Stegostoma tigrinum: one gene and its partner. The protein of the gene in region 2 purifies or fractionates together with the protein of the main gene of each other region. This does not show direct contact. Links are inferred from orthologs where the notes say so. Each region holds a gene or a part of one and is shown on either strand. Other genes may lie near its edges.

Region 1 (10,849 bases), on a different chromosome or scaffold from region 2:
TCATGATTCCAAATCCACAGGAATGTGGTTGACTTCTAAATGCCATTGAAACCCTTGATGGACATAACTTACTGGCTTGCAAAACTAATATATATAAGAAGTCTAAGACGAACAGAATCATTGGACTACCTAGTAGTGGATCAAGGTACTCCCTGCCCAGTTTACTCTGAAAAGTCTTCCTTACTAATATTTGAGGACTTCTGTCAAAATTGAACTTCTGTCTCAAACCAGTCAATACACTGCATTCATAACTGTCAGTCAATGCTCACATTTCTCCATCAACATTCTTGAGTATAAACCGTAAATACCGTTCCAATGGCTGATGAGATAGACCAAAGGATGCAGCGGTGTGGTAAATAATAAGAAGGGAGTGAGGAAAGAATTCTCAATATTAATTACAGATGCCATGAAGTCTCAGGGCACAAAATCAACGGTGGACAAAGAAACTTATTTGACTGCCACATTGTTTGTGGGTCTTTATCCATCACCAAAACTGGGTTGGTACTGTTATAGTCTGAAGAAGTGCTTGAGACCTAATAGAATAAGGAATAGGTGATAGATGTATTTATTAAGGGTGAATTGGGTATGATTGGTATATAAAAGAATGGGAAGCTAGTAATCAGAGGGATGAGTGTGAGGTGATTTGAAATTAGGCTCTCAAGTGTGGATTTGAACAGTTTAAATAGTTATTTTTTTAGGCATAATACTGGTAGCAGAGGACGGTGGTGTCAAAATATAAAATTTTGGGATATGATTACCTATTCCTGTTTTTTAAAGTATGAGCCCTTTTTTAAAAAATCTAATCTTAAATGAATAATACTACTTTTCTTCTCTTTCCTATAAACCTCCATCTGTCATCTTGTTGTCCTCATGTACAACCTGTCTATAATTTTCTGCCTTTGTGCCCTGCACAGTTAACTTTCCCATTTAGTTATTGCCTCAGCAAATTTGGACATTTTATTCTTGGTCTCTCGGCTAAAGTCAATCAAGACTGTAAACAGTCTCAAATTACTCATTTATCCCTACTTTCCGTCCAATATCCAATCTTTCCACTGCCCAGTATTACTCCCAACTCCATGAGCTTTTGCCTTTACTGGAGTATTAAACTCTCTTTGGAAACCCAAAAATATTTACTAATTCCTCCTTATCTATTTAAGAGTTACATCCTCAGCAAAAAACACTTTTCAAAAACAAGTTCACTTTCATAAAACCATACAGGCTTTGTTTGATCCTTCTGATCTATTTTTTCACATGCACATGCATTCTTAGGTTTTTCTTTAGTAATCAAGCCTAGCATTTTTCCAACAAATGACATCAATCTTATTAGCTTCTAATTCCCTGTTTTGACTCCCTTCCTTCTTGAAAGAATGAGTTATATTTAAATTCTGATCTGCTTATTCTGTTCAAAAACTTATGGATATCAGAAAATCATAAGCAGCATATTCATCTGTACTCTTACCTCATTCTTACCAAATCTACTTGATGCAAATTTTAGCTATTTAGGATGTACTGGTTGGAGTGACCACCAGACTTAACAAAACATTAACTCTCAGATGCTGCTAGACCTGAATTTCCCAGCACTTTGTTTCAAGTCACTTATTAGTCCAGTTTGAACTCAATTCTGCTTTTCAAATAGAAAACCAATAAAACTGCATTTCAAAATAAACACTACAAAGTAGTAACTGTTAGCATTACCACTATTCTAACATCAGGTATCCATAATATTCCTGACACATATTCCCTTCGCTTGTCAGAATTCCCTCCGATACATTCCTCCTCTATTTCCAACATCTCCATGCACTCCTACATCACCCTTCCATGCAATGGCAGAAGTAATATTACATGTTTACATCCTCATCCAAAAAGGTGAAGTAGTGATTTACTTGTACTTCATTCAATCTAGTCTCATGTATTCGATATTCACATTGTCTTCTCTACATTGTGGAGACAATGCAGGCTGGATGACCACTTTGCAGGACACCTGCAAAAGTGACCCCAAACTTCCAGTTGCCTGTCATTTCAACACACCACTGCATTCCTACACCAATTTTCCTAACAGAGGCCTGCTGTAGTCTTCCAACCAGCCTCAGCACAAGCTCAAAGAGCGGCATCTCATTTTCCACTTTGGGACGCTGCAGCCCGTATGATGCAACACTCGAGTCCAATAACTTTAAGAGCCTGATATCATCCTTCCCAAGCTGTTCCTGCCCGATTCCATACTTTTCACCAACCCCACAGCCAGATACATCGTTTTTAACAGTCACCCATTCCTACATACTCCTAGGCACATTATCACATTATATGGAGCAAGAAGGTTGGCATTTTGGGTTGGGACCCTGCCTCAGAAATGGGAAGGGGGAATGGAGCTCAGAAATAAATGGAGAGAGGAAGGGTAGGCTAGGGATGGCAGGAAAGATAGTGATAGGTGAGTGCAAGCAGGGAGTGGTGGGGATTGGTCAGTGAGGTGGAAGGGGCAGATAGGCGGGTGAGAAGATGAAGAGGTTGTGAGAGGCCAAGGAGGCAGGGGAGAGGGGAGATTTTGAAACTGGTAAAAATCTACATTTACACCACTGAGCTGTACACTTCTGAGTCGGAATATGAGGTGCTGCTCCTCCAGTTTGCGGGTAGCATTATTGTGACACTGGAAGAGGCTCCGGATGGACACATCACCCAGGGAGTGGGAAGGGGAGGTGAAATGGTTCACCACCGGAAGGTGTTATCGTTTGTCACGAACAGAGTGCAGGTGCTCTACAAAACAGTTTCTGAGCCTCTATTTATTTCTGAGCGCCCTTCCCCATCCCCATTTCAGTCCCAACCTGAAAAGTCAACTTTTCTGCTCCTCTGATGCGGCACACCTGCTGTGTTCCTCCAGCTCCAGACTATATTATCTCTGACTCCAGCATCTGCAGTTCTTATTATCTCTGATCACATTATACGGGTTGCATTCAGCATATCTAGCCCATCTTCTCACTCAGCTCTTACCACTTATTCAGCTTTTCTTCTGTCCTGGCTGGCTACCCGTAATCTGGTTTACTTACACCTTCCGTATGTCTGAGCTCCATCTCCACCTATCCACTTACCTGACTCCTTCCCACATTGGCTTCAGCGTAAATACCACTTTTTCCTAGCTACTAACAGTTCTGATGCAGTGTTTGGACATCAAAACATTAACTCTGCATTCTTCCCACAAATGCTGCCAAACCTGAGTTCAGCTCTGATGAAGGGTCTAGGCCCGAAACATCAGCTTTCATGCTCCTGAGATGCTACTTGGCCTGCTGTGTTCATCCAGCTTCACACTTTGCTATCTTGGATTCTCCAGCATCTGCAGTTCCTATTATCTCTTTCTCCAGCAGTCTGTCTTTGTTTCAGATCTCCAGCATCCACAGTTTTATTTTTTTTTTAAATATTATTGTAGCATCACTCCAGAGAGCCATACAGCACAGAAAGAGATCTTGTGGTCCAACTCATGCTTGCCAACCAGGTATCCCACTCTGACCTAGTCCTTTTCCAGCATTTGACCCATATCTGTCTAAATCTTTCCTATTCATATAACCATCCAGATTCCCTTTAAATTTTGTAATTTTCCCCTCCAGGTGCTCCAGTTTCCTCCAACAGTCCAAAGATGTGCAGACTTGGTGGAGTGGCCATGAAAAATTCCCCGTAGTATTGAGGGATGTGTGGATTAGGTGGGTTATAGGAGGCTGGGTATGGATGGGATGTTGAGAGTCGGCGTGGACTTGCTGGGCCGAAGTGCCCGTTTCCACACTGTAGGGATTCTATGAACTTCCACCAGCAGCTCATTCCGTACAGACACCCTCTGCGTAAAAATGTGACCCTTTTAGTCCTTTTTAAGTCTTTCCCCGCGCGAATTAAAACTAATTATCTCTAGTTTTGGACTCTCCCACCCTAAGACAAAGACCTTGGCTGTTCACTTGACCCATGTCCCTCATGACTCAGTCACATGGCCCCTCCCAGCGTGGAGGCTCAGTGCCCTACCAAAGCATCTCCTCATCGAAATGTCGTGAGAGGCAAAGACACAAGATAACTGCAAACCTGAACCTATTTTAAAAGTAGTCTCAATTCTCTGCAGTGAGTGTGCAATCTGTTCCTTTAAATTGCACAGAATCCAGTTTATAGATTTAAACCATTTAACTTACCATTTTTAATCGTAAAATGGGCTATCTTTTAGAAATAAAGACAAAAACTACGCGCTGACATTCTATTCGGATTTCCTTTTCGAATCACAGTGAAAAAGACACGTGACCAAAGCTACCGTTTGTCGTACATCGACTTTTGTAGTCGTGAAACGTGTCCGTCGTTGGCGTGCCTGCCTCCTTTTGTCAGCCGGTCCTGTGATTGGTGAATTTCCCGTGGAGGTGGGGGGAAGTTAGAACGGCCTGTGCGTACGAAGCCCCGCCCCTTCACGTGGGGGGCGGGACGCTGTCAATCAGGCGGTGTGTTCTCACCTATCGTCTGTCGTAGGTGTGATATGATCAGAGATAACGAAGGCTACAGTGAGAGCGACATGTCCTGTTGAGGAAGTCAGATGCTTCTAACAGTCGGAACTATGTGAGTGTTATTAAAATAAAATGGCATTGCTTACGTTAACTTTTTTTGCTAAGTGTAAAACAACCCTCGTCAAATTTCTATTTCAATATGTGACTTCAATGGAATCTCCATAATTCAGAGCCAATCTTACTTATTAGGGGGAATATACTGGAGGACCTCGGCCGGTCTGTCAGTATCTGTGGAGAGAGAAGTAGCCCTAACGCTTGGAGGAATTATTCTTCTTTAGGCCTTCGTTTTTAATCAGGGAGAACTTGAGAGAAAGGAAAATGACGTGTACTCAGGAATTGGAGTCTAATTTCAGTGTCTCAGGGTACCTTCTGTAAAAACACGGCAATCTTTAGATTGCCCAGTAAACTCCACTAGTCCTATTACTGTTTTAAATGTATTAGAATTAAACATTAAAATGCAGTCTCCGGATCAACCGAGATGACTCAGGATGCGCACCAAAATCACCCGATTATCTGTGATCATTGCATACCTGCTGCTTCTGACATAAACTGCCTGATTGACAGCGACGTGCTCCGCAGGTGAAATTCCGTTGCACAGAACCCTGCACAAAAATCTGTAATTCTAGGTGAGCGCTGCTGACGCAGACAGTTTTGATTTATGTCCCTGAATTGTTACCCAGGATGTCAGGCAGAAAATTCCCACAACTGACCCACCCAATAACTCAGACTGCTCCTAATTCGCAACTGTCCTCCCTTGCAGCCTACGCTTTGATGATTGCCCCCACAGAACATCGAGACCAATAATGCAAGATAACAACGTGTGGAGCTGGATGAACACAGCAGGCCAAGCAGCATCTCAGGAGCACAAAAGCTGATGTTTCGGGCCTAGACTCTTCCTTTTTAAGCTTAGTTGGTTATTACATTTTATTGTATCTACAGTTGCCTTTGTCAAATTGTGTATCTAACCATTATATTGACATCAGTTTACTTTGTTTCCTGTAGGAAATTAGAACATGTTGGAGGAAATCAAGATTATAAATTTTGATATTAATTTTGATCATGACATCATAACTTTTGTTGATTTTTCTTCCACAGGGTGCCTTTTCCAAAGTTCAGAACTTTTCTTGTTTCTAGGTAAAATATGAAAATGATGTTCAGAATGCAGGAATAACAGAATATAACACACACATTGACAGAAATATAATCACAACAACATGCATGATTTCATTTAGTTAAACCACATGAGCAGTAAGACAGTACAATTCTTTGATATCATTTACCAGAGCATGCAGTAAATCATACCACTTGCTGCCATTCTTGATTGACTCATATTTCAATATTAAGCTTTTTCGTACTTGCCCAATTTTCTGGTATAGCAACTTCATTTCGTGGTTACCTTGAAGATTAAACATAAACTTAGTTTCACACATTCTTTCAGAGTGTAACAGTTCTGTCTCTTGAGTTATTCTTCAGCTGTATGGAACTCCTGTTGCAAGAAGCAGTGATTTTGGAACTCTGCAATAGCACAGTTTTGATTCCCTCCATCTATAACTTCATAAGCCAGCATTGTTGATTCTGCAAAGTAATAAGTGAGATAAGATGGCTTCAAAAACTTTTAATTTGGGGTCTGTTCTTAGCTGCAAGAGAGTCCAAAATGGAGTTTCTGGAGAAGGAGATCAGACCTAATGGGAACTGAAATGCTGGAGTATCCAAGACAACAAAGTGTGGGGCTGGATGAACACAGCAGGCCAAGCAGCATCTTAAGAGGAAATGGAGACGCAGCTTGAGGTGGGAGTGGGGGCTAGGAGAGGGGAAGCACAGGTTAGGCAGGCAGGGACGAGCTACCACAAAAAGTGTTACACCTGCCCCCACACCACTTCCCTCACCCCCATCCCATGCCCCAAGATGACTTTCCACATCAAGCAGAGGTTTACCTGCTCATCCACCAATGTGGTATACTGCATCCACTGTACACGGCGTGGCTACCGCTACATTGGGGAAACCAAGCAGAGGCTTGGGGACTGCTTTGCAGAACACTTAATGGTTCGCAGTAAACAACTGCACCTCCCAGTCACGAACCATTTCAATTCCCCCTCCCATTCCTTAGATGACATGTCCATTCTGGGCCTCCTGCAATGCCATATTGATGCCACCTAAAGGTTGCAGGAACAGCAACTCATATTCCACTTGGGAACCCTGCAGCCCAATGGTATGGATGTGGATTTCACCAGCTTCAAAATCCCCCCCTCCCCCCACTGCATCCCAAAACCAGCCCAGCTCGTCCCCGCTTCCCTAACCTGTTGTTCCTCTCACCTATCCCCACCTCAAGCCGCACCTCCATTTCCTACCTACTAAACTCATTCCACCCCTTTGACCTGTCCATCCTCCCCAGACTGACCTATCCCCTCCCTGCCTCCCCACCCATACTCTATCTTCAGTCCGCCTCCCCCTCTCTCCCTATTTATTTCAGAATCGTCTCCCCATCCCCCTTTTCTGATGAAGGGTCTAGGCCCGAAACATCAGCTTTTATGCTCCTGAGATGCTGCTTGGCCTGCTGTGTTCGTCCAGCTCCACACTTCGTTATCTGGAGGAGTTTCTTTTAGAAGTAAAATACTGTGACTTCCTGTAAGCCTGAACTGAAAGCAGAAAATGCAGCAGAAACTCAGCAACTAAAGAATCATATCAGACTTGAAATGTTAACTCGGATTCTCTCTCCATAAATGCTGCCAGACCTGCTGAGTTTCTCCAGCATTTTCTGTTTTCATTTCTTGACTGGTTTTCTTGGCTGTAGCATTAGCTGAGAAATCTGGTGGTCTTCATTTGCCAAAGAAATAAAAGTTAATGAGGGGATCAGATTGTGAACAGAACAGATGTTCAGTTTCGTTTAGGAAAGGGAGAACAGTTGAGGATATTTATGAAATGGAGCTTCATGTGGGAACAGCTATGGAAAGAAGCAACAGAAAGCTGGAAGAAGAGATAATAGGAACTGCAGATGCTGGAGAATCCGAGATAACAAGGTTTAGAGCTGGATGAAAACAGCAGGCCAAGCAGCATCTCAGGAGCAGGAAAGCTGACGTTTCGGGCCAAGGCCCTTCTTCAGAAATGGGGGAGGGGGAAGGGGTTCTGAAATAAATAGTGAGAAAGGGGGCAGTGGATCGAAGATGGATAGAGGAGAAGATAGGTGGAGAGGAGACAGACAAGTCGAAGAGGTGAGGGTGGAGCCAGTAAAAATGGAGTGTAGGTGGGGAGGTAGGGAGAAGATAGGTCAGTCCAGGAGGACGGACAGGTCAAGGGGGCGGGATGAGGTTAGTAGGTAGGAAATGGAGGTGCAGCTCGAGGTGGGAGGAGGGGATAGGAGAGGGGAAGAACAGGTTAGGGAAGCGGGGACGAGCTGGGCTGGTTTTGGGATGCAGTGGGGTGGGGTGGGGGGGGAAGGAAGGGAGACTTAAGTTTGTGAAATCCACATTGATACCATTCGGTTGCAGGGTTCCCACGCGGAATATGAGTTGCTGTTCCTGCGACCTTTGGGTGGCATCGTTGTGGCACTGCAGGAGGCCCAGGATGGACATGTCATCTAAAGACTGGGAGGGGGAGTTGAAGTGGTTTGCGACTGGGAGGTGCAGTTGTTTATTGCGAACCGAGCGTAGGTGTTGGACTCTGGAAATGTGTGTCTTTTGCTGCACAACGTAACCCTGGAACTCAGGGAAGCATTAAAAAACTTACCTCAGAAGCCACTTGCCAACTGAATCCAATAAAAATGAAGGAATTGAAAGTGTATCTGGAAATATTGGAGAAACTCTGCTTGAGATTAATGCCACGTGTGCTGTTGGGGGTTGCTTTAAACCTACAAGAGTAATCTTGTGTTGGCTATTTAAAGAGTACACCTTAGTTTCTAGTGAATACAGTTCACCTCAATTTGATTGTTTTATTGAACAGAAATAGACATAAGAACAAAGTTTTAAAAACTTATGATTTTGGTTGATACCATTTCTTCTGTTAGTGTAATTTGGGAAATTATATCCTGTTGTGGTTTTGGTCTTCACAGGGTTCATAACATAAGGAACAATGTAAACTATTTCCCTCACACTTCCTAACATTGTTTTAAACAATTAAAACATTTTAGTCCTTTTTTGTATGCCGTTTAACAGCATTTCCTATTTGCTGTCTTCCTTACATTCAATTAATCTCTAAATTTTGATTACAGGTATTCACCTCTGAAAGATGCCAGTGGCCCAGATAGGCTTTTTTAAAAAAAAAGTGACAGACAGTTCCATGGTTAACATTGCTAAGATTAGCATTCCATTCCAGTACACTAGGATCAGTGACATGACCACAGTAACTCTAGTTTCTGGGGATCGCAGTTGAATAGTGGATTGCAACAAAAAACAAAAGAGAAAACTGAAATTTTTAACCTGTCTGCACTCAACCAGATGAGTTTTAAACTGCAAGAAAAATGTGAACCACAAATATCTCAATCTTAAATTATCATATTCATAACTGAACATACGTTACTTCCCTAATTCTACCTACTAGCTAAGAATTGAAAGTGAATCTAAGCATTTACCAGGCAAATTGTTCTATTAAGTATCAATATATATCCAACAGCTGGACTGCATGCAAATTATAAAATACATATTCGTGAAAAAGAACAAACAAGGTAACCTGCTCATCAGAAACCACAAGCTCCTGGGGAAGGCTATCAGACCTTAGACTGAAAGTTGAAGTCAGAGTTAAATTAACCTATTGAGGTGTTCAAGAAAGAGATTCGTCTCTTGTATAGGAACATGATTGAGATCTGTAAAGGTTCATTTTGGAATAGTAGGATGATATTTTGTCTCTTTGAAAATGTTTAAACTTAATGTTCAGTGATTTATTCAATTTCGTTTTCACCTTGTTTTATCATTGAAACAAAATCTGCTTATGTTTTTGTGAAAGAACACCCTGTCAAAAAAAAACTCAATAAAACAAATCTATCAAGCCAGGTTTCAGTCTGGGATCTTGCCCAGTGATAACATCAGCTGGAATCACAACACTGCAGGTCAAAATAACTGTAAAGATCTGAGTAGAAGATAATACTTTTGAGATAAAAAAAACAAGCTTTCAGAAAGATTCTCTGGTTTGGAGAGCTTTGCAGAATTTTGAAGTTTAGGGATGGTTTGGCCAGTTAAACTACTGCTGAATTATTTGTTTCTGAATGTGTAGATTTCTCATCCGCATCTTCCCTACCTGCTAAGGACAAATATGTCGAGCAGACAGTATGCATTCCTTCAACAATCTCCACATTTCTATAGTGCTCTTCCCTGACAGCATCTGTTCCCGTTTTATGTTATGTTACCCAGTTCTTGCCTAACAGAATTATAATTACCCTTCCCCTAATTATAAACATTACCCTGCTGTATGTACCTATCCTTTTCCATGACTATTGTAAAAATAACAGAGTTATGATCGCTAACACCAAAATGCTGTCCTACCAACAAGTCTAACACTTGGCCTGTTTCATTGCCAAGCACTAAATCCAAAGTGGCCTCTCCTCATGTTGGTCTATATACATACTGTGTCAGGAATCCTTCCTGAATACACTGGGCAAAGCCAAACAGAGACACGCATGAGAATTCCTAGAAGGATGGCATTCAAACCAGAACTCCATCAACAAACACATTGACTCCAAATCAATTGACCACCCTCTGAGAAAGAACAGGAAATGATATCACCAACCCAAGGAAACCTAAACAGATAAATAGAAAGTGGGACATAACACCAGCACTTCAGAGGCTCACTGTTGATGTTACCTAGAATGGTGACTGATTATTTGGGAACAAACCTTCCAGCTCAGTGAACCAGCTTACATCCGGAACAAAATAAAGACCCACTCTTTTGTGGACCGAGAGGAGGAGAGCATGACTGTGTTGGAGGTGGAAGGAGGGAGTCGGGTTGGCAGTGCACCCTTGCAACCGGTGGATCTTAATGCTGGCTTTGGCTTAACGCTGGTTCGGGGAGCAGCCAACCTGCAACGATGACTGCAGTGAGTGCTCGTGCCCCAGGTCAGGGGGTCCGGAACACCATCCGTGTTTCCGTGAAGAAGGTGGATGAAGGTGCACCTGTGGACCGCACCTTCTTCGTGAAGAGGGTCCTGTTGGACTGTTGAGGGTTCGCTGCTGCGGACATTTACTGCCTGCAGGATTTCTCTGGAGGTTTTTACGATGTAACCTTCAGGAGTTCCAAGCTTTGCAAGCGCTTCCTGGAGGTTTTCAAGGAGAAAGGTGGTGAGGGCCCCCTCTCTGTATTGACTGCTGTCCCGCTGTTCATGATGCCAGCGCAGAGGAGCCGTATGG
Region 2 (10,154 bases):
CTAATGAGCCGACCATGGAGAACCTTATCAAATCCACACACACCACATCCACCGCTCTGCCTTCACCAATGTGTTCTGTCATATCCCCAAAGAAAACAATAAGGCTTGTGAGGCATGACCTGCCCCTCACAAAGCCATGCTGACTATTTCTAATCAAACTGTGCTTTTCCTAATAATCATAAATACTATCTCGCAGAATCATCTCCAATAATTTGGCCACCACAAAAGTAAGACTGACTGACCATGTTACAGTCATGGTTTGTTTTACTCTGACATCATTCATTAAACTTGCCTCATTATACATGATCAGATCCAAAATAGCTCAAACTCTGGTTGGATTCACACAATATTGTTCTTGGAGACTCATTTATTTATTACATAAGGAATTGAGTATAGGAGCAAAGAGGTCCTTCTGCAGCTGTACAGGGCCCTGATGGGACCGCACCTGGAGTATTGTGTGCAGTTTTGGTCTCCAAATTTGAGGAAGGACATTTTTCCTATTAGGGGAGTGCAGCGTAGGTTCACGAGGTCAATTCCCAGAATGGCGGGACTGTCATATGTTGAAAGATTGGAGCGACTGGGCTTGTATACACTTGAGTTTAGAAGGATGAGAGGGGATCTGATTGAGACGTATAAGATTATTAAGGGATTGGACACTCTGGAGGCAGGAAGCACGTTTCCGCTGATGGGTGAGTCCAGGACCAGAGGACACAGTTTAAAAATAGGGGGTGGGCCATTAAGAACAGAGTTGAGGAAGAACTTCTTCACCCAGAGAGTGGTGGATATATGGAATGCTCTGCCCCAGAAGGCAGTGGAGGCTAACTGTCTGGATACTTTCGAGAAAGAGATGGTTAGAGCTCTTAAAGATAGTGGAATCAGGGGTTATGGGGATAAGGCAGGAACAGGATATTGATTGTGGATGATCAGCCACGATCATAATGAATGGTGGTGCTGGCTTGAAGGGCCAAATGGCCTACTCCAGCACCTATTGTCTATTGAATTGTTCTTCATGCCTCCCTCTATAAATCTATCGCAATCTACAAGAAAATTAAAGTCACCAACGGTAATATACCACCTTTATTAAGTGTCTTTATATCTTACTTCATTCATTCCCTGTCGACTACATAACTATTGTGAGGGGGCCTATAAACTACTGCTAACTATATTCTTTCCATTTTCCACTACCTCATCCAATTCCATAAGACATAGTAGTGGAAGTAAGGCCATTCGGCCCATTGAGTCCACTCCTCCATTTAATCATGGCTGATGGGCATTTTAACTCCACTTCCCTGCACTCTGCCCGTAGCCCTTGATTCCTTGTGAGATCAATAATTTATCAATCTCTGCCTTGAAGACATTTAATGTCCCGGCAGGCCCACCACTCTCTGGCTGAAGAAATGACTTCCCCATTTCCGTTTTAAATTTACCCCCTCTAATTCTAAGGCTGTGCCCACAGGTCATAGTCTCCCCACCTAATAGAAACAACTTCCTAGCGTCCACCCCTTCTAAACCATACATTATCTTGTAAGTTTCTATTAGATCTTCCCTCAACCTTCTAAACTCTAATGAATACAATCCCAGGATCCTCAGCCGTTCATCGTACGTTAAACCTACCATTCCAGGGATCATCCGTGTAAATCTCCGCTGGACACGCTCCAGCACCAGTATGTCCTTCCTGAGGTGCGGGGCCCAAAATTGGACACAGTATTCTAAATGGGGCCTAACTAGTGCTTTATAAAGTCTCAGAAGCACATCACTGCTTTTATATTCCAACCCTCTTGAGATAAACGACAACATTACATTTGCTTTCTTAATCACGGACTCTATCTGCAAGTTAACCTTTAGAGAATCCTGGACCAATATTCCCAGATCCCTTTGTGCTCTGCTTTACGAATTTTCTCACAGTTTAGAAAATATTCCATGCCTGTATTCTTTCTTCCAAAGTGCAAAACCTCGCATTTGCTCACGTTGAATTTCATCAGCCATTTCCTGGACCACTCTCCTAAACTGTCTAAATCTTTCTGCAGCCTCCCCACCTCCTCAGTACTACCTGCCTGTCTACCTAACTTCGTATCATCAGCAAACTTCGCCAGAATGCCCCCAGTCCCTTCATCCAGATCATTAATATATAAAGTGAACAGCTGTGGCCCCAACACTGAACACTGCGGGACACCACTCGTCACCGATTGCCATTCCGAAAAAGAGACTTTTATCCCAACTCTCTGCCTTCTGTCAGACAGCCTATCCTAATCCAAGCCAGTAGCTTACCTCAAACACCATGGGCCCTCACCTTACTCAGCAGCCTCCCTTATCAAAGGCCTTTTGGAAGTCTAGATAGATAACATCCACTGGGAATCCCTGGTCAAACCTACTTGTTACTTCCTCAAAGAATTCTAACAGATTTGTCAGGCACGACCTACACTTACTAAATCCATTCTGATTTGTTTTAATCTGACCCTGCACTTCCAGGAATTTAGAAATCTCATCCTTAACAATGGATTCTAGAATTTTACCAACAGGGCGGCACGGTGGCTCAGTGGTTAGCACTGCAGCCTCACAGCGCCAGGGACCCAGGTTCGATTCCAGCTTCGGGCGACTGTCTGTGTGGAGTTTGCACGTTCTCCCCGTGTCTGCGTGGGTTTCCTCCGGGTGCTCTGGTTTCCTCCCACAGTCCAAAGATGTGCAGGTTAGGTGGACTGGCCGTGCTAAACAGCCCGTAGTGTTCAGGGGTGTGTGGGTTTTGGGGGGAATGGGTGTGGGTGGGATGCTTCAAGGGGCAGTGTGGACTTGTTGGGCCGAAGGGCCTGTTTCCACGCTGTAGGGAATCTAATCTAATAAACTGAGGTTAGGCTAATTGGCCTATAATTTTCCATCTTTTGTCTTGATCCTTTCTTAAACAAGGGAGTTACAACAGCAATTTTCCAATCATCTGGGACTTTCCCAGACTCCAGTGACTTTTGAAAGATTACAAAGAAAGCCTCCGCTATTTCCTCAGCCGCCACCCCCAGAACTCTAGGATGTAGCCCATCGGGGCCAGGAGATTTATCAATTTTTAGACCTTTTAGCTTTTCTAGCATTTTCTCTTTTGCAATGCCTACCTTACTCAACTCTGCCCCCTGACTCTCCCTAATTGTTGGCATACTACTCATGTCTTCCACTGTGAAGACTGACGCAAAGTACTTATTAAATTCTTCAGCTATTTCCTTATCTCTCATCACTAGCCTTCCAGCATCAATTTGGAGCGGCCCAATATCTACTTTTGCCTCTCGTTTGTTTCTTATGTATTGAAAGAAGCTTTTACTATCATTTCTAATATTACTAGCTAGCCTACCTGCATATATGATCTTCTCCTTCCTTATTGCTCTCTTTGTTATCCTCTGTCTGTCTGTTTTTGTAGCCTTCCCAATCTTCTGATTTCCCAGTGCTCTTGGCCACTTTATAGGCTGTCTCGTTTTCTTTGATATATTTCCTAACTTCCTTTGTTAGCCATGGATGTCTAATCCCACCCCGGATAATCTTTCTTTTTGGGATGAACCTCTGTGTACTGTGTCCTCAATCACACCCAGAAACTCCTGCCGTTGTTGGTCTACTGTCTTCCCCGCTGGGCTCAGCTAGGATCACAGGGGTTCACTGAAATCTTTCCCCATCAATATCAGCTCTGGTTTGGGGGTTAACACTCTCGCTTGCAACAGCAAGTCGTGGCTTGAAGCCCCACTCCAGAGGCATGAGGCCCTGTGTTAATCCTGTCAGTAAACAACAGGACATCAGATCAGCTTTTAAAAAGAAATCTTCAGGCCTCTCCAATTACTTACCAGCCATTTCCTGCCTCACTGCCCGGGCAAATGCTCTCCCCACCACTTGGGCTCCAACGATGATGATCTGAACCAAGTATTTGGCCTGAACACAAGCAGAGAGAGGGCGGATGGTTAGATCCCAGTAATTGAGCAGCAGCTCACTGCACATCCAGGTCCGGAACCCCCGGCCCGGGGCCGAAACCCCGCGGATCAGCGGCCCCGGACACCCCCGCAGGATCTCTCCCCGGACGGCCCCACCGCAACCACCCCCCGGGGTCCCGCCGGACGGCCCCACCGCAACCACCCCCCGGACGGCCCCACCGCACACCCGCCCGGGGCTCCCCCCGATCCGGTTTCCCACCATCGCCCGGCGCCGGCTCCGTTCCTCCAGGAATATCCGGGAACCACGCGCTGTGTCAAGGACGAGTCAGGGTCAAAGGGCAGAAGCCGGTTTGCCGGCACCTGTCCCTCTGCGGACACATGAGAAGACCCGGACGATGTCACTCAGCTGGCGTGAGCGCCTCCCTGCTGGATTGGAGGACGCATGCATCGCCCCCGAGGCAGACAGCGTCCCCTGGCGGAGGCAAAGAGCACAAACTGCAGCAAGATTTCTTGGAAGTTTCAGCTTCTTTCCCGCTTCTCCACATTAAAACCTTGGTAAACTGGCACATTATTATTATTATTATTATTATTATTATTATTATTATTATATATTATATATATATATTATATATTATTATTATTATCATCATCATCAACAATAACTGTCAAAGTTAAAAAGATAAGAATTAATTTACCAGCGTTGTGGGGTACAGACAATTTGAATCAGATGTTAATTGCAAAAGTAAGACTTGAGAGCCAAAGTGTTTTTACAGCCAAATGAGACATTAAATTTAAGGATGAATTCCTCAGTGGCCTCAAGAGGTTGAGCAATTGAACTGGGAATGCTTATGAGATCAGCACAAGGATATTAAAATCACTGAGGGTTGTGGAACTGGGGATGGGGACGTAAAGGAACTTAAAACAAGGATGAGAATTTTGAATCAGAGATAATGGGAACTACAGATGCTGGAGAATCTGAGATAACAAAGTGTGAGGCTGGATGAACACAGCAGGCCAAGCAGCATCTCAGGAGCACAAAAGCTTTTCTGCTCGGCCTGCTGTGTTCATCCAGCTACACACTTTGTTATCTGAGAATTTTAAATGCCGAGGCGTGGCGTAACCTGGGGCCAATGTAAATTGGGAGACGGGTGAGTAAGGAAACAGCAGGGTTTTGAATGAACAAAAGTTTGGCGAGAGTAGATTAAAACTAAGAACTGCGGGTGCAGGAAATCTGAAACAACAATGGAAATTGCGGGATAAACTTGCTGCATCTGAGGAGAGAAAGCAGAGTCAACAAAGGGCCACCGGACCTGCAGAGTTTCTCCAGCAAATTTCTGTTGTGTTACTAAATGGAGTATGCGGAACGCCAGCTAGGAGTGTGTTGGGAAGTAACAAAATGCACAGATGAAGATTTCAGCTGCAGATGAACTGAGGCGGGACAAATGCAGGCAATGTCGCGGAGGTGGAATCGGGTATTTTTACTGAAGGCTGCGTCGGAACCTAATACTCCGGCCAAACAATGAGATTAATGTTGCAAGCAATCTGGGTTCGCCTCAATGTCCATCGTGAGTAATGAAATCAGCGACTAAGGAGCAGAGTTTGTCACAAGTACCTGACAATGATTTTGGTCTTCACTATTTTTTTGGGAGTAAACTGTTGCTCATTCAGTACTTGATGTCAGATGAATAGTCTGGTAACTGAGCATCCGTGGGTGGGGTTGAGAAAGGTGATGGTAAACTGAGAGCTGGGTGCAGCCAGGGAGAATGCAAGGCTGCGTTTTTGGATGATGTAAATAAAGAGCAGTATGTAGATGTAAAATGGGTCTTCGAGGGATACAGGTAAAGTGGGAGCCGGAAGAAAAGCTGCTGCCCCTGATTGGCTGGCTACAACTGCGTAGAAAAGATGGAACCCGCTGAGAACAGTCCCAACTCCTGAATGACATTGCAGAGGAAGTGGAGGAGGATGGTATGGGCAGCTAAGTTAAAAGAGCGTAGACGGGTTGAACACAGATAGTTTACCTAAATCATAATCACACAGGATGCCACAGAAGAACAAAGGCAAAGAGTACAGTTTTAATTCTGGCAGACAGGCTCGAGAACATGTAGATTTTGAAAGTCCAGTTGGAATGTGGTCAATTTAAGATGTAATTCGATACTTCGCATGAGAAGGATATTTCCAAAGAGGCCTTGGACCATTCCTTGTTCCTTATATGTCTATACTCCTCAGTAACAACAGAAAATACAGTAAAGCCATTGCTGCAAACTGGGACATTAACCATATTTCACTATTTTTTAGTTTTGGTGAATTTTGCTGTTCAAGTTCAGTGTTTTACAAATTCATATTTCTTGTATTGTTCTTCAAAATCTTTTAAAGACATGAAGCATTGATGTCCTGACAAGCCTCAAGTGCCAAGTTCAGTCAGTTTGCAGCCATGCGATACATGCGGCTAGATCGTGTACGGCAGCAATAGAATGACTGGGTCAAAGTTCAGTTGGTTGTTCAAGGAAAATCTAGCTCAATGTGTTTTGGCTCCAATCTTCTTTCATCCAAGTTTGGATTTAAGTAATCTCATCTGTGATTCCATCGTACAAATATAAATTTTATAAGATGTCAACTGCAAGAAAGAATTGAATTTCTATGCACCTTTCACAATTTCAGGTCATCCCAAATTTTCTGAAGTCGATGAAGTAAATTTGAAGTGAAGCAAGGAAATTTGGAGCATATTTGTGTAAGGCAGGTTCCCAAAAACAGTTATGAAATACAAAACTGCATTATTTGTTTTAATTATATTGGTTGAGGGACAAATATTGGTCTGAATATCAGAAAGAATTCCTTCGACTTCTACAAAGTAACACAGTGGGTTCTTTTACATCCAATCAAGGGAGCAGAGTCTTGGTTTAAGCTGAAGTTGGTGTCTTAAGACACTGCAGCGTTCCCTCGTACAGTATATGTGGAATCCATCTGGGCTATGGGGTTGTCTGAGGAATGGGACTTGACCACACAATCCCTAATTACCCTTGAGAATTTGTTGAGCCAATTTCTTGAACCATTACTGCTTTCAGGTTTATGGATGCCCATAATGCAGGGGAGTTCCAGGATTTTGACACATGGACTGTGAAGAAATAGTGATGTAATTTGAAGGCAGCATAGTGTTAGCTTGGAGGGAACCTCATAAGTGATAGGGTGCCTGTTGCTCCTATTCTGGATTGTGAAGTTTTGTTGGAGGATTCTTGATGTATTATTGTGTATTATTGCAGTGGTCTTGTTGCGGTACATAGTATTGCCACAGTGTGTGAAATGGAGCGAGCGTTGGAGGTGACTAATCAATCAGTTGGACTGCTGTATCCTGGAGATTGTTGAGCATCTTGAGTGCTGTTAAAGCTGCACCCATCTAGGCAAATGGGGAGTGTTCCATCACACTGACTTGTGCGTTAAAAATGATATACATGCAGGAATTCCTCTCCTCTAACCTGCTCTTGTAGCTTCAGTATTTAACATGGCTAGTCCATTCAGTTTCTGGTCAATGGTAGCTCTAGAATACTGACAGTGGGGAGATTTAGCAATGATAATGCCATTGAATGTAAAGGGGCAATGGTTAGATTCTGTATTATTGGAGATGGTTATTACCTGGCACTGTGGCAAATAAAATGCATGTCAGCTCTAGCCTGATACTGTCCATTTTTCAACATGGATTGCTTGAGTACCTGAGGAACTGTAAATGGTGAACGTTGTGCAATCATTATCACACATCCCTATTTTTGACCTCACGAAGGAGGGAACATAGAACATTACAGCACAGTGCAGGCCCTTCGGCCCTCGATGTGCCAACCTGTCATGCTGATCTCAACCCCATCTAACCTACACTATTCCATGTACGTCCATATGCTTATCCAAAGACGACTTAAATGTACCTAAAGTTGGCGAATCTACTACCGTTGCAGGCAAAGCGTTCCATTCCCTTACTACTCTCTGAGTAAAGAAACTACGTCTGACATCTGTCCTATATCTTTCACCCCTCAATTTAAAGCTATGCCCCCTCGTGCACGCCGTCACCATCCTAGGAAAAAGGCTCTCCCTATCCACCCTATCTAACCCTCTGATTATTTTATACGTTTCAATTAAGTCACCTCTCAATCTTCTTCTCTCTAATGAAAACAGCCTCAAGTCCCTCAGCCTTTCCTCGTAAGACCTTCCCTCAATACCAGGCAACATCCTAGTAAATCTGTGATAACGGGAACTGCAGATGCTGGAGAATCCAAGATAATAAAATGTGAGGCTGGATGAACACAGCAGGCCGAGCAGCATCTCAGGAGCACAAAAGCTGACGTTTTGGGCCTAGACGCTTCAAGCTTTTGTGCTCCTGAGATGCTGATGGGCCTGCTGTGTTCATCCAGCCTCACATTTTATTATCCTAGTAAATCTCCTCTGCACCCTTTCCAAAGCTTCCACATCCTTCTTATAATGCGGTCACCAGAACTGTACACAATACTCCAAGTGCGGCCGCACCAGAGTTTTGTACAGCTTCACCATAACCTCTTGGTTCCGGAACTCGATCCCTCTATTAATAAAAGCTAAAACACTATATGTGTTCTTAACAGCCCTGTCAACCTGGGTGGCAACTTTCAAAGATCTGCGTACATGGACACCGAGATCTCTCTGCTCATCTACACTACCAAGAATCTTACCATTAGCCCAGTACTTTGCCTTCCGGTTACTTCCACCAAAGTGCATCACTTCACACTTGTCTGCATTAAACTCCATTTGCCACCTCTCAGCCCAGCTCTGCAGCTTATCTATGTCTCTCTGCAACCTACAGCATCCTTCGTCACTATCCACAACTCCACCAACCTTAGTGTCGTCTGCAAATTTACTAACCCATCCTTCTACGCCCTCATCCAGGTAATTTATAAAAATGACAAACAGCAGTGGACCCAACACCGACCCTTGCGGTACACCACTAGGAACTGCTCTCCAGGATGAACATTTCCCATCAACTACCACCCTCTGTCTTCTTTCAGCAAGCCAATTTCCGATCCAAACTGCTATATCTCCCACAATTCCATTCCTCCGCATTTTGTACAATAGCCTATTGTGGGGAACCTTATCGAACGCCTTGCTGAAATCCATATACACCACATCAACCAGTTTACTCTCATCTACCTGTTTGGTCACCTTCTCAAAGAACTCAATAGGGTTTGTGAGGCATGACCTTCCCTTCACAAAACCGTGCTGACTATCCCTAATCAATTTATTCTTTTCTAGATGATTATAAATCCTATCCCTTATAACCTTTTCCAACACTTTACCAACAACTGAGGTAAGGCTCACTGGTCTATAATTACCAGGGTTGTCTCTACTCCCCTTCTTGAACAGGGGAACCACATTTGCTATCCTCCAGTCATCTGGCACTATTGCTGTAGACAATGACGAGTTAAAGATCAATGCCAAAGGCTCGGCAATCTCCTCCCTGGCTTCCCAGAGGATCCGAGGATAAATCCCATCTGGCCCAGGGGACTTATCTATCTTCACCCTCTGAAGGATTTCTAATACCTCTTCCTTGTGAACCTCAATCCCACCTAGTCGAGTAGCCTGTATCTCAGTATTCTCCTTGACAACATTGTTGTTTTCTAGAGTGAATACTGTTGCAAAATATTCATTTAGTGCTTCCCCTATCTCATCTGACTCCACACACAACTTACCACTACTATCCTTGATTGGGCCTAATCTTACTTTTGTCATTCTTTTATTCCTTAAATACCTATAGAAAGCCTTAGGGTTTACCTTGATCCTATCTGCCAACAACTTCTCATTTCTCCTCCTGGCTCTTCCGAGCTCTCTCTTTAGGTCTTTCCTGGCTACCTCGTAGCCCTCAAGTGCCCTAACTGAGCCTTCACATCTCATCCTAACATAAGCCTTCTTCTTCCTCTTGACCAGAGATTCCACCTCCTTCATAAACCACGGCTCCCGCGCTCTACAGCTTCCTCCATGCCTGACAGGTACATACTTATCTAGGACACACAGGAGCTTTTCCTTGAATAAGCTCCACATTTCTAATGTGCCCATCCCCTGCAGTTTCCTTCCCCATCCTATGCTCCCTAAATCTTGCCTAATCTCATCGTAATTGCCTTTCCCCTAGTTATAACTCTTGCCCAGTGGTATACACCTATCCCTTTCCATCACGAAAGTAAACATAACAGAATTGTGATCGCTATCACCAAAGTGCTCACCTACTTCCAAACCTAACACCTGGCCATGCTC

The links.
Region 1: the proteins of pam16 (region 2) and dnajc19 purify together in Homo sapiens (affinity purification with mass spectrometry; 3 studies listed by BioGRID and IntAct, with this or other methods). This does not show direct contact. The link is inferred for Stegostoma tigrinum from reciprocal best matches to the Homo sapiens genes PAM16 and DNAJC19.

What each region holds. Positions count from the first base shown.
Region 1 is NC_081367.1:47,471,204-47,482,052, reverse strand, and holds the start of dnajc19 (mitochondrial import inner membrane translocase subunit TIM14), read right to left. Parts: upstream 4,334-10,849; 5' UTR 4,161-4,333; coding exon 4,158-4,160; intron 1-4,157. UniProt on the Homo sapiens protein: Mitochondrial co-chaperone which forms a complex with prohibitins to regulate cardiolipin remodeling.
Region 2 is NC_081376.1:33,329,780-33,339,933, forward strand, and holds the start of pam16 (mitochondrial import inner membrane translocase subunit tim16), read right to left. Parts: upstream 4,295-10,154; 5' UTR 4,159-4,294; coding exon 4,156-4,158; intron 3,898-4,155; coding exon 3,813-3,897; intron 1-3,812. UniProt on the Homo sapiens protein: Regulates ATP-dependent protein translocation into the mitochondrial matrix. Inhibits DNAJC19 stimulation of HSPA9/Mortalin ATPase activity.